2 linked regions of the Callithrix jacchus genome follow. The protein of the gene in region 1 purifies or fractionates together with the protein of each later gene. This does not show direct contact. Links are inferred from orthologs where the notes say so. Each region holds a gene or a part of one and is shown in the gene's direction. Other genes may lie near its edges. The genes, in order: CSTF3 and CSTF2T.

The links.
Region 2: the proteins of CSTF3 (region 1) and CSTF2T purify together in Homo sapiens (co-immunoprecipitation; 4 studies listed by BioGRID and IntAct, counting the BioPlex papers as one, with this or other methods). This does not show direct contact. The link is inferred for Callithrix jacchus from reciprocal best matches to the Homo sapiens genes CSTF3 and CSTF2T.

What each region holds. Positions count from the first base shown.
Region 1 is NC_133511.1:98,463,216-98,466,225, reverse strand, and holds the end of CSTF3 (cleavage stimulation factor subunit 3), read left to right. Parts: coding exon 1-149; intron 150-1,061; coding exon 1,062-1,156; intron 1,157-1,274; coding exon 1,275-1,335; intron 1,336-1,754; coding exon 1,755-1,957; 3' UTR 1,958-2,463; downstream 2,464-3,010. UniProt on the Homo sapiens protein: One of the multiple factors required for polyadenylation and 3'-end cleavage of mammalian pre-mRNAs.
Region 2 is NC_133513.1:78,568,795-78,573,361, forward strand, and holds CSTF2T (cleavage stimulation factor subunit 2 tau variant), read left to right. Parts: upstream 1-1,728; 5' UTR 1,729-1,797; coding exon 1,798-3,621; 3' UTR 3,622-4,067; downstream 4,068-4,567. UniProt on the Homo sapiens protein: May play a significant role in AAUAAA-independent mRNA polyadenylation in germ cells. Directly involved in the binding to pre-mRNAs.

The sequences.
Region 1 (3,010 bases):
CTCCCGTGCTAAGCTAGCAGCTATAATTCCAGACCCAGTTGTAGCTCCTTCTATAGTGCCTGTTCTGAAAGATGAAGTGGATAGAAAACCAGAATACCCTAAACCAGACACTCAGCAGATGATTCCATTTCAGCCACGACATTTAGCACGTAAGCCATGACTTTAGATCCAGTACTGAGACCTCGATTTGTTTGTTGATTTAAATCCAAGGTGTGGGGGTAAAGTGACACTGCCTCTCAATTATGGGTTAATTATTAAACTTAGGGTCACTATGACAAGTAACTTAGCTTTAATCTTTGAACCAGATTAACTAAGAACGTCCTAAAAACAAAACTTCAATGATCCAGATTCCAGGAACCCATCTGGCAGTGATACTTGGTTTTCAGAAATGCTGCTATGGCCGGTCGCAGTGGCTCAATCCCAGCCTGTAATCCCAGCACTTTGGGAGGCTGAGGCGGGTGAATCACCTGAGGTCAGGAGTTCAAGACCAGCCTGGCCAACATGGTGAAACCTTGTCTCTGCTAAAAATACAAACATTTTCTGGGGATGGTGGTGAGTGCCTGTAATCTCAGCTACTTGGGAGGCTGAGGCAGGAGAATTATTTAAACCCGGGAGGCAGAGGTTGCAGTGAGCCAAGATCGTGCCGTTGCACTCCAGCTTGGGCAACAAGAGCCAAACTTCTTCTCAAGTTAGTAGCCTCTCTAGATTATTTTTGAACAAGGCCCTTCTGATTAAATATGTTGTTGAATAATTGACTTGAAACAGGATTGCTGAACAAATGACTTGTGCAACTCAGAAAACGTCTTTGACAAAAATTGACTTTAGTTCAGCCCTGGTCTTGTACAAAGTCACTTGTGTACTTCTCTGCCTCCTCGTGGCCATGGCGTTGAGACAGCTCTCACTGTCTCAACTGCTTTGGTTTCGTAAATCACTAGAAGCAACTTAAATGTCCAGAACAAAGCAGCATAGCATGGAAGATCTTTATGTGCAAGTCACATTATTTTAGCTCTTTGCAGAAACTCTTCCATCCTACTTGATTCATACTTTTCTTTTTCTGACAGCTCCAGGCTTACATCCTGTACCTGGTGGAGTGTTCCCAGTCCCCCCTGCAGCTGTTGTTTTAATGAAACTTCTCCCTCCTCCTATCTGTTTCCAGGTTTGTTTATTATTTTCATGGTAGATACTGGCTCTGTGGGTTACAGTAACTGTACAAAGTTATTGCTACTTCAACTTATCAGATTACTAGGGATTAAAATTTATTCATGTCAAAATAGGGTCCCTTTGTACAAGTGGACGAACTGATGGAAATTTTCCGAAGATGCAAGATACCAAATAGTAAGTAACGGAAACTCCATTTCAGAGTGTCATTCCACATTGCTGTCTCATAGGCGGAGGACACTGTTATTCTTTGCCACTTAAGTTTACAAAAACAGCCAGTCAACTTGAAGTGCACTGAAACCCAGGAGTTATCCAAACCCTCTCTGGCAGAGAGAGGCTTATTCATATTGAATTCCACTAAATAAAATGTCATAAAAGCTTATCTTTTCTATTCAGGTGAACATGCACTATCAGACTTGGCTTATGAAAATAACTTTATTAGTGCTTTTGTCTTTTCCTTTAATTATTTAGCATCAGTAGTACCATCCCATATTTTGCTAAAATAGTAGGCTATGAAGTGAACTATAAGTATCCACAGCTGAACATACATACCCTTTCCTAGTGGAATATGTTTTTACATTTTGTTGTTTTAATAGCTGTTGAGGAAGCTGTGAGGATTATTACCGGTGGGGCCCCAGAGCTAGCTGTAGAAGGCAACGGCCCAGTGGAAAGTAATGCAGTACTCACCAAGGCTGTCAAAAGGCCCAATGAGGATTCAGATGAAGATGAAGAAAAGGGAGCCGTTGTCCCGCCTGTTCATGACATTTACAGAGCACGGCAGCAGAAGCGGATTCGGTAGGGCTTAAAACGCCTCTGCAAGAAAACTCCTGTCCAGGATTCCCTTTTTGCCTCAAGTCGTATGTTTAAAAGAGACAACGCTTTGTTACAAGGTTCTTGGAAACAAAGTTGTATTGTCATTGGTGCCTCTATCATATGGTTCTTGGGAAAAAACAAACCAACCTGTGTGAATTTTAGAATATGGAACAGACCTATGCTCTAAGCAAAATTTAGGTTTTCAAAAATGTGAGAACAGTACAAAATGGCAGAACCACATTTTGTTCCCTCTTCAAGGGTGTCTTGTATGTGCCGCTTGAAGATTTGTGAGTTTTTCAACAGTTTTATTTTAAAAACTGGATGGCTTATGATTGTAAAGCATTTTGTCACATTTCCTGAAAAACAATTGTTCTTGGTTTGCTTATGTAGAGTCCTGCCTTATTGTTTGTTTTTATTTATGGCAGAATGTATGAAATCTGTTTTGTAGTTTGAAATTTTAAAAGTCCTTTAAAAAATAAAAGGATTCAGAAACATCATGCTTCCTGTGCATCTTTCAGATTTTATTTATAATAACTACTTATGTTATTTGTTCAATACCATTTAAAAATAAATGTCAGTACAAGGAAAAGTCATCTTGTATTTACTAAATGTAGGCTGCATCACACACTCTTTCCTGGTTTTTTTTTTTTTTACTAAAAACATTTTTAAGAGGCAAATTAAATATTTTAGAAATCCTCAAATATGAATGCATTTGCTCCCCAGTAAGTCTGAGACGGATTAAGATCCTGTTATCTTTTCTCTCTCTTGAAAGCAACCTAAGTGTGGTAATTTGTTTAACCTCCTGCTGTCTTGTTCTCACAGAGTTGGGACCAGAAGTATTCAGGATTTTGGATTTGTTTCCATTTCAGAATATTTGCATCATACTTACCAGTTTACTATCCCTCATCCAAAAGTCCAAACTCCAAAAATCTCCACTGAGTATTTTCTTTGTGCATCATGTTGGCACCCAAAAAGTTTTAGATTTTGAAACACTTTGGATGTCAGATTTTCAGATTAGGGATACTCAACTTGTATATTT
Region 2 (4,567 bases), on another chromosome or scaffold:
CTGCAGATACATATACCATTTTTTTGCTGAAACTTAGAAGTTTCATAATCCACTTAAAAGGCATATTATATTTCAGAATAAAATAATTATGTTTTAAAGCACAGGCTTGGAGCAGTCCAGTCCACAGATGTATAACGCAATCTATACATATAATTTAAAATTTTCTAATAGCCACATTTTAAAAAGTAAAATAACATTAATTTCAAAATAATTTTTTAATCCATTAAAAACACTACATTTCAATTTTAAAACAATATAAAATTGATGAGCTATTTTGACTTTTTTTGTATTTATTAAAATCGTTCATGTATTTTATATGCATGGCATACCTCAACCGTAGTGTTAAATTTTGACTGGAAATACTTTATTTTTATTTTTTGTCTTAGTGTTCTGTGAAATAATTTTTATTTAGAACACAATTATTACAAAAACAGATTCTACACTCAAGTTGTTCCAAATACTAAAAAAGTTTTCCAATAGCCTACTGAACATTAGTTTTTATATTTAAATTAATAAAAAATGAAATTTAAAAATTTCATTTGAAATTTAAAAATTTTAATTTTAAGAAATTTAAATTTAAAATTTAGGATTGAGGAATTTAAATTTAAAATTTCATTTAGAAATTTAAATTCCCCAATCATACTAGCTGCATTTCAAATATTCAATACATGTAAGGAGACAGCGTAGATCTGGAGCTATGTGAGACCAACCTGGGCTAGAATCCTGGCTTTGCCTCTTACCGACTGCTTGTTCTTGGGCAACTGATCTAGCCCTCTCCGAGCTTCAGTTCTATCTTTGAATTAAGGTGGGGGTAAACCCTGCAAAACTAACAGCAGAAGAGAAACACCCACTATTTGTTTACCCTTTCATAGAAGTGGTGGACTCACTGCATCATATAATAAAAATTAGAACCAATCAATATAGGAATAATAAAGTATATTTCATTATTCCATACTATGAAGCCATAAAATGCTTATAACTAATCACTTATTTAATCACCAATAATATTTAAATCAGTTAATACTATTAAGGAACAAAATCGTAATATTAGGAACTGCCCCTGTGCTCAGGAAAAACCTAGAAGGATCTGCCCCTCATCCATTAACAGCAGTTACAGGAAGCAACAGAGTGGGAGCGGGGCCCAGCCGGCACACGCTTCGGTTTATAATTCTTGGCAGTTAATTTCCAAAAACGTTGTTGTTTTAAAAAGGAGATAATACTGTTTTACTTTAAGGGGCAAATCTCAAATTTGCCTTAAAACAACTACACTTTTGCCTCGGTCTGGAATGTAATTTTAAATATAGCTTAACTATACTATAATAAACGGCCATATGAAAATACTTGGTCAGAGCGAAAAACACGGCGCCTTAAATCAGCTTTCGGTTGGCGGTTTCCCGCCGGTGGAACGGAAACAAAACCGCTTTTGACGTCAAGGGAGGCGTCCCTTCCCAGTTACCTTGGTGAAGTCTATGTGGCCATCTTTACTGTGGTCATCTCGTACCAAGCCTGTCGTAGTGGGGCTGTTAGGACTCCACAGAAAGTCGGCCTAAAATGAAATGGGAAAGGAATCTTGCGACTCCTGTGACAAAAAGCTGACAGAACCACGAAGAATCAGGGACGGAAAGCATTAGTTGTTAGTGGGATGCAGGTTCCACAGGCAAGCGGAACGATTCAAGCGAATTAGTAAGGTTTCTGCCCGGATATTGAGAGCCGCTTCCGTTGCTCAGCGGAAGTGCCGATCGCAAGAGGACAGACACCTCGAAGAATCCGCTATCGGCTGTGCGCACAACCGGAATCATGTCGAGTTTGGCGGTGAGAGACCCGGCAATGGATCGATCACTGCGTTCAGTGTTCGTGGGAAACATTCCGTATGAGGCAACTGAGGAGCAGTTAAAGGACATTTTCTCGGAGGTTGGTTCTGTTGTCAGTTTCCGGCTGGTATACGATAGAGAGACGGGAAAACCCAAGGGCTATGGCTTCTGCGAATACCAAGACCAGGAGACCGCGCTTAGTGCCATGCGGAACCTCAATGGGCGGGAGTTCAGTGGGAGAGCGCTTCGGGTGGACAATGCTGCCAGTGAAAAGAATAAGGAGGAGTTAAAGAGCCTCGGGCCTGCAGCGCCCATTATTGACTCACCCTATGGGGATCCCATCGATCCAGAAGATGCCCCTGAATCGATTACCAGAGCAGTAGCCAGTCTCCCCCCAGAGCAAATGTTTGAGCTCATGAAGCAGATGAAGCTCTGTGTCCAAAACAGCCACCAGGAGGCTCGAAACATGTTACTTCAAAATCCGCAACTGGCTTATGCCCTGTTGCAGGCACAGGTAGTGATGAGAATCATGGATCCAGAGATTGCTCTGAAAATTCTGCATCGGAAGATACATGTCACACCACTGATCCCGGGCAAATCTCAGGCTGTGTCTGTCTCTGGCTCTGGCCCTGGTCCTGGCCCTGGCCCTGGGCTCTGCCCAGGTCCTAATGTTCTGCTGAACCAGCAGAATCCTCCAGCCCCTCAGCCTCAGCATTTGGCTAGAAGACCTGTGAAGGACATTCCTCCTCTGATGCAGACTCCTATCCAGGGTGGAATTCCAGCTCCGGGGCCAATACCAGCTGCAGTTCCCGGACCTGGTCCTGGTTCCTTAACTCCTGGAGGAGCAATGCAGCCCCAAGTTGGAATGCCAGGGGTTGGCCCAGTGCCTTTAGAGCGAGGACAAGTGCAGATGTCAGATCCTAGAGCTCCTATACCTCGTGGACCCATGACTCCTGGTGGCCTGCCTCCTCGAGGACTGTTAGGAGATGCTCCAAATGACCCACGTGGAGGGACTTTGCTTTCAGTCACTGGAGAAGTGGAGCCCAGAGGTTATCTGGGCCCACCCCATCAGGGTCCCCCCATGCATCATGTTTCTGGTCATGACACCCGTGGCCCTTCCTCCCATGAGATGAGGGGAGCGCCATTGGGAGATCCCAGACTGCTAATTGGAGAGCCCAGAGGCCCCATGATAGATCAAAGGGGTCTACCCATGGATGGCAGAGGTAATAGAGACTCTCGAGCGATGGAGACTCGCGCCATGGAAACTGAGGTCTTAGAGACGCGTGTGATGGAGAGGAGAGGAATGGAGACCTGTGCGATGGAAACCAGAGGGATGGAAGCAAGAGGCATGGATGCAAGAGGATTGGAGATGAGGGGCCCTGTCCCCAGTTCAAGAGGCCCTATGACTGCTGGAATTCAGGGTCCTGGTCCCATTAATATAGGGGCAGGTGGCCCTCAGGGACCCAGACAGGTCCCAGGCATTTCAGGGGTGGCAAATCCTGGAGCTGGTATTCAGGGAACAGGCATGCAGGGAGCAGGCATACAAGCAGGAGGGATGCAGGGGGCAGGCATACAAGGAGTGGGAATACAAGGAGCAGGCATACAGGGGGCAAGCAAGCAAGGTGGAAGCCAGCCTAGCAGTTTTAGCCCTGGGCAGAGCCAGGTCACTCCACAGGATCAGGAAAAGGCAGCTTTGATCATGCAGGTTCTTCAATTGACTGCAGATCAGATTGCCATGCTGCCCCCTGAGCAAAGGCAGAGTATCTTGATTTTAAAGGAGCAAATCCAGAAATCTACTGGAGCTTCTTGAAAGGTTTTAGAAAGTACTTGGCTGTAGTCTGAAAGTTTATTCTGTAGCATTGAGAATGGGTGCAAAAAGCTGACTTCTGCATCCTGACAGTTTGATTAGGTTTTCCCTCCTCCTAGAACCTAATCTTTTGTTGTTGTTGATGTTCTTTTTATTTCTTTCTGTTTTTCTTTCTATTTTTAATTGAGGGTGGGGGGAGGAGGGGAGTCTGTTCACTTTGAGTTACTGTAAAATAACTGAACATGATGATACTATGCCAAATAAGATTAGAAAGAATAAGCAGCAATATTAAAGTGTCCACAATATGTTAACTACATTTTTTTAATGTGGAGTAAAATTTTGTGAAAACTGCTCTTAAAGACTAAAAGTTGACCTGTTAAAACGTTAATGTACTAAGATAGTTTTAAGATTTTTGGTTGTGTAACAAAATAAAGACGTTTACCTCAAAAGTTTAAGATATATTTCTTGGTAAACCATTTAAAATGCAAAATCTTATTTTGGAGGCAATAGGTTAAACATAGTCTTAGTGCTTTAGAATTATTTTTGAAACATTAGCGTTAATAGGGTAAGTTTAAACTTGTATTAGAATTGTTTTTTTCTAAAGTTATGTTACCTGAAAAATTAAGAACTGTACCTGGTTTAATGTTGCTTCATTTATCACATCCTTCGGAGACCAGCAAGGTTCTGCCAGGCCTCCAGCATCTGAACATGATGATTTTGCTCTGACAATTCTAAAATCAACAAGGTTACTTAAGACTGCTCTGATGGAACCTAATAATCTTTCAATACCTTCCTGTTTCTCAATAGTCTTTCAACCCTAAATCTGAGTCAGTAATTCTCTCACATCCTTCCCAAAAATCAGTGTCTAGAGACCAGTTAAGCTCGATGAGTTATACATGGTATTTTACTTTTCATAACTAGTGGAAGGTTTCATTCATTAAGTAAAGCT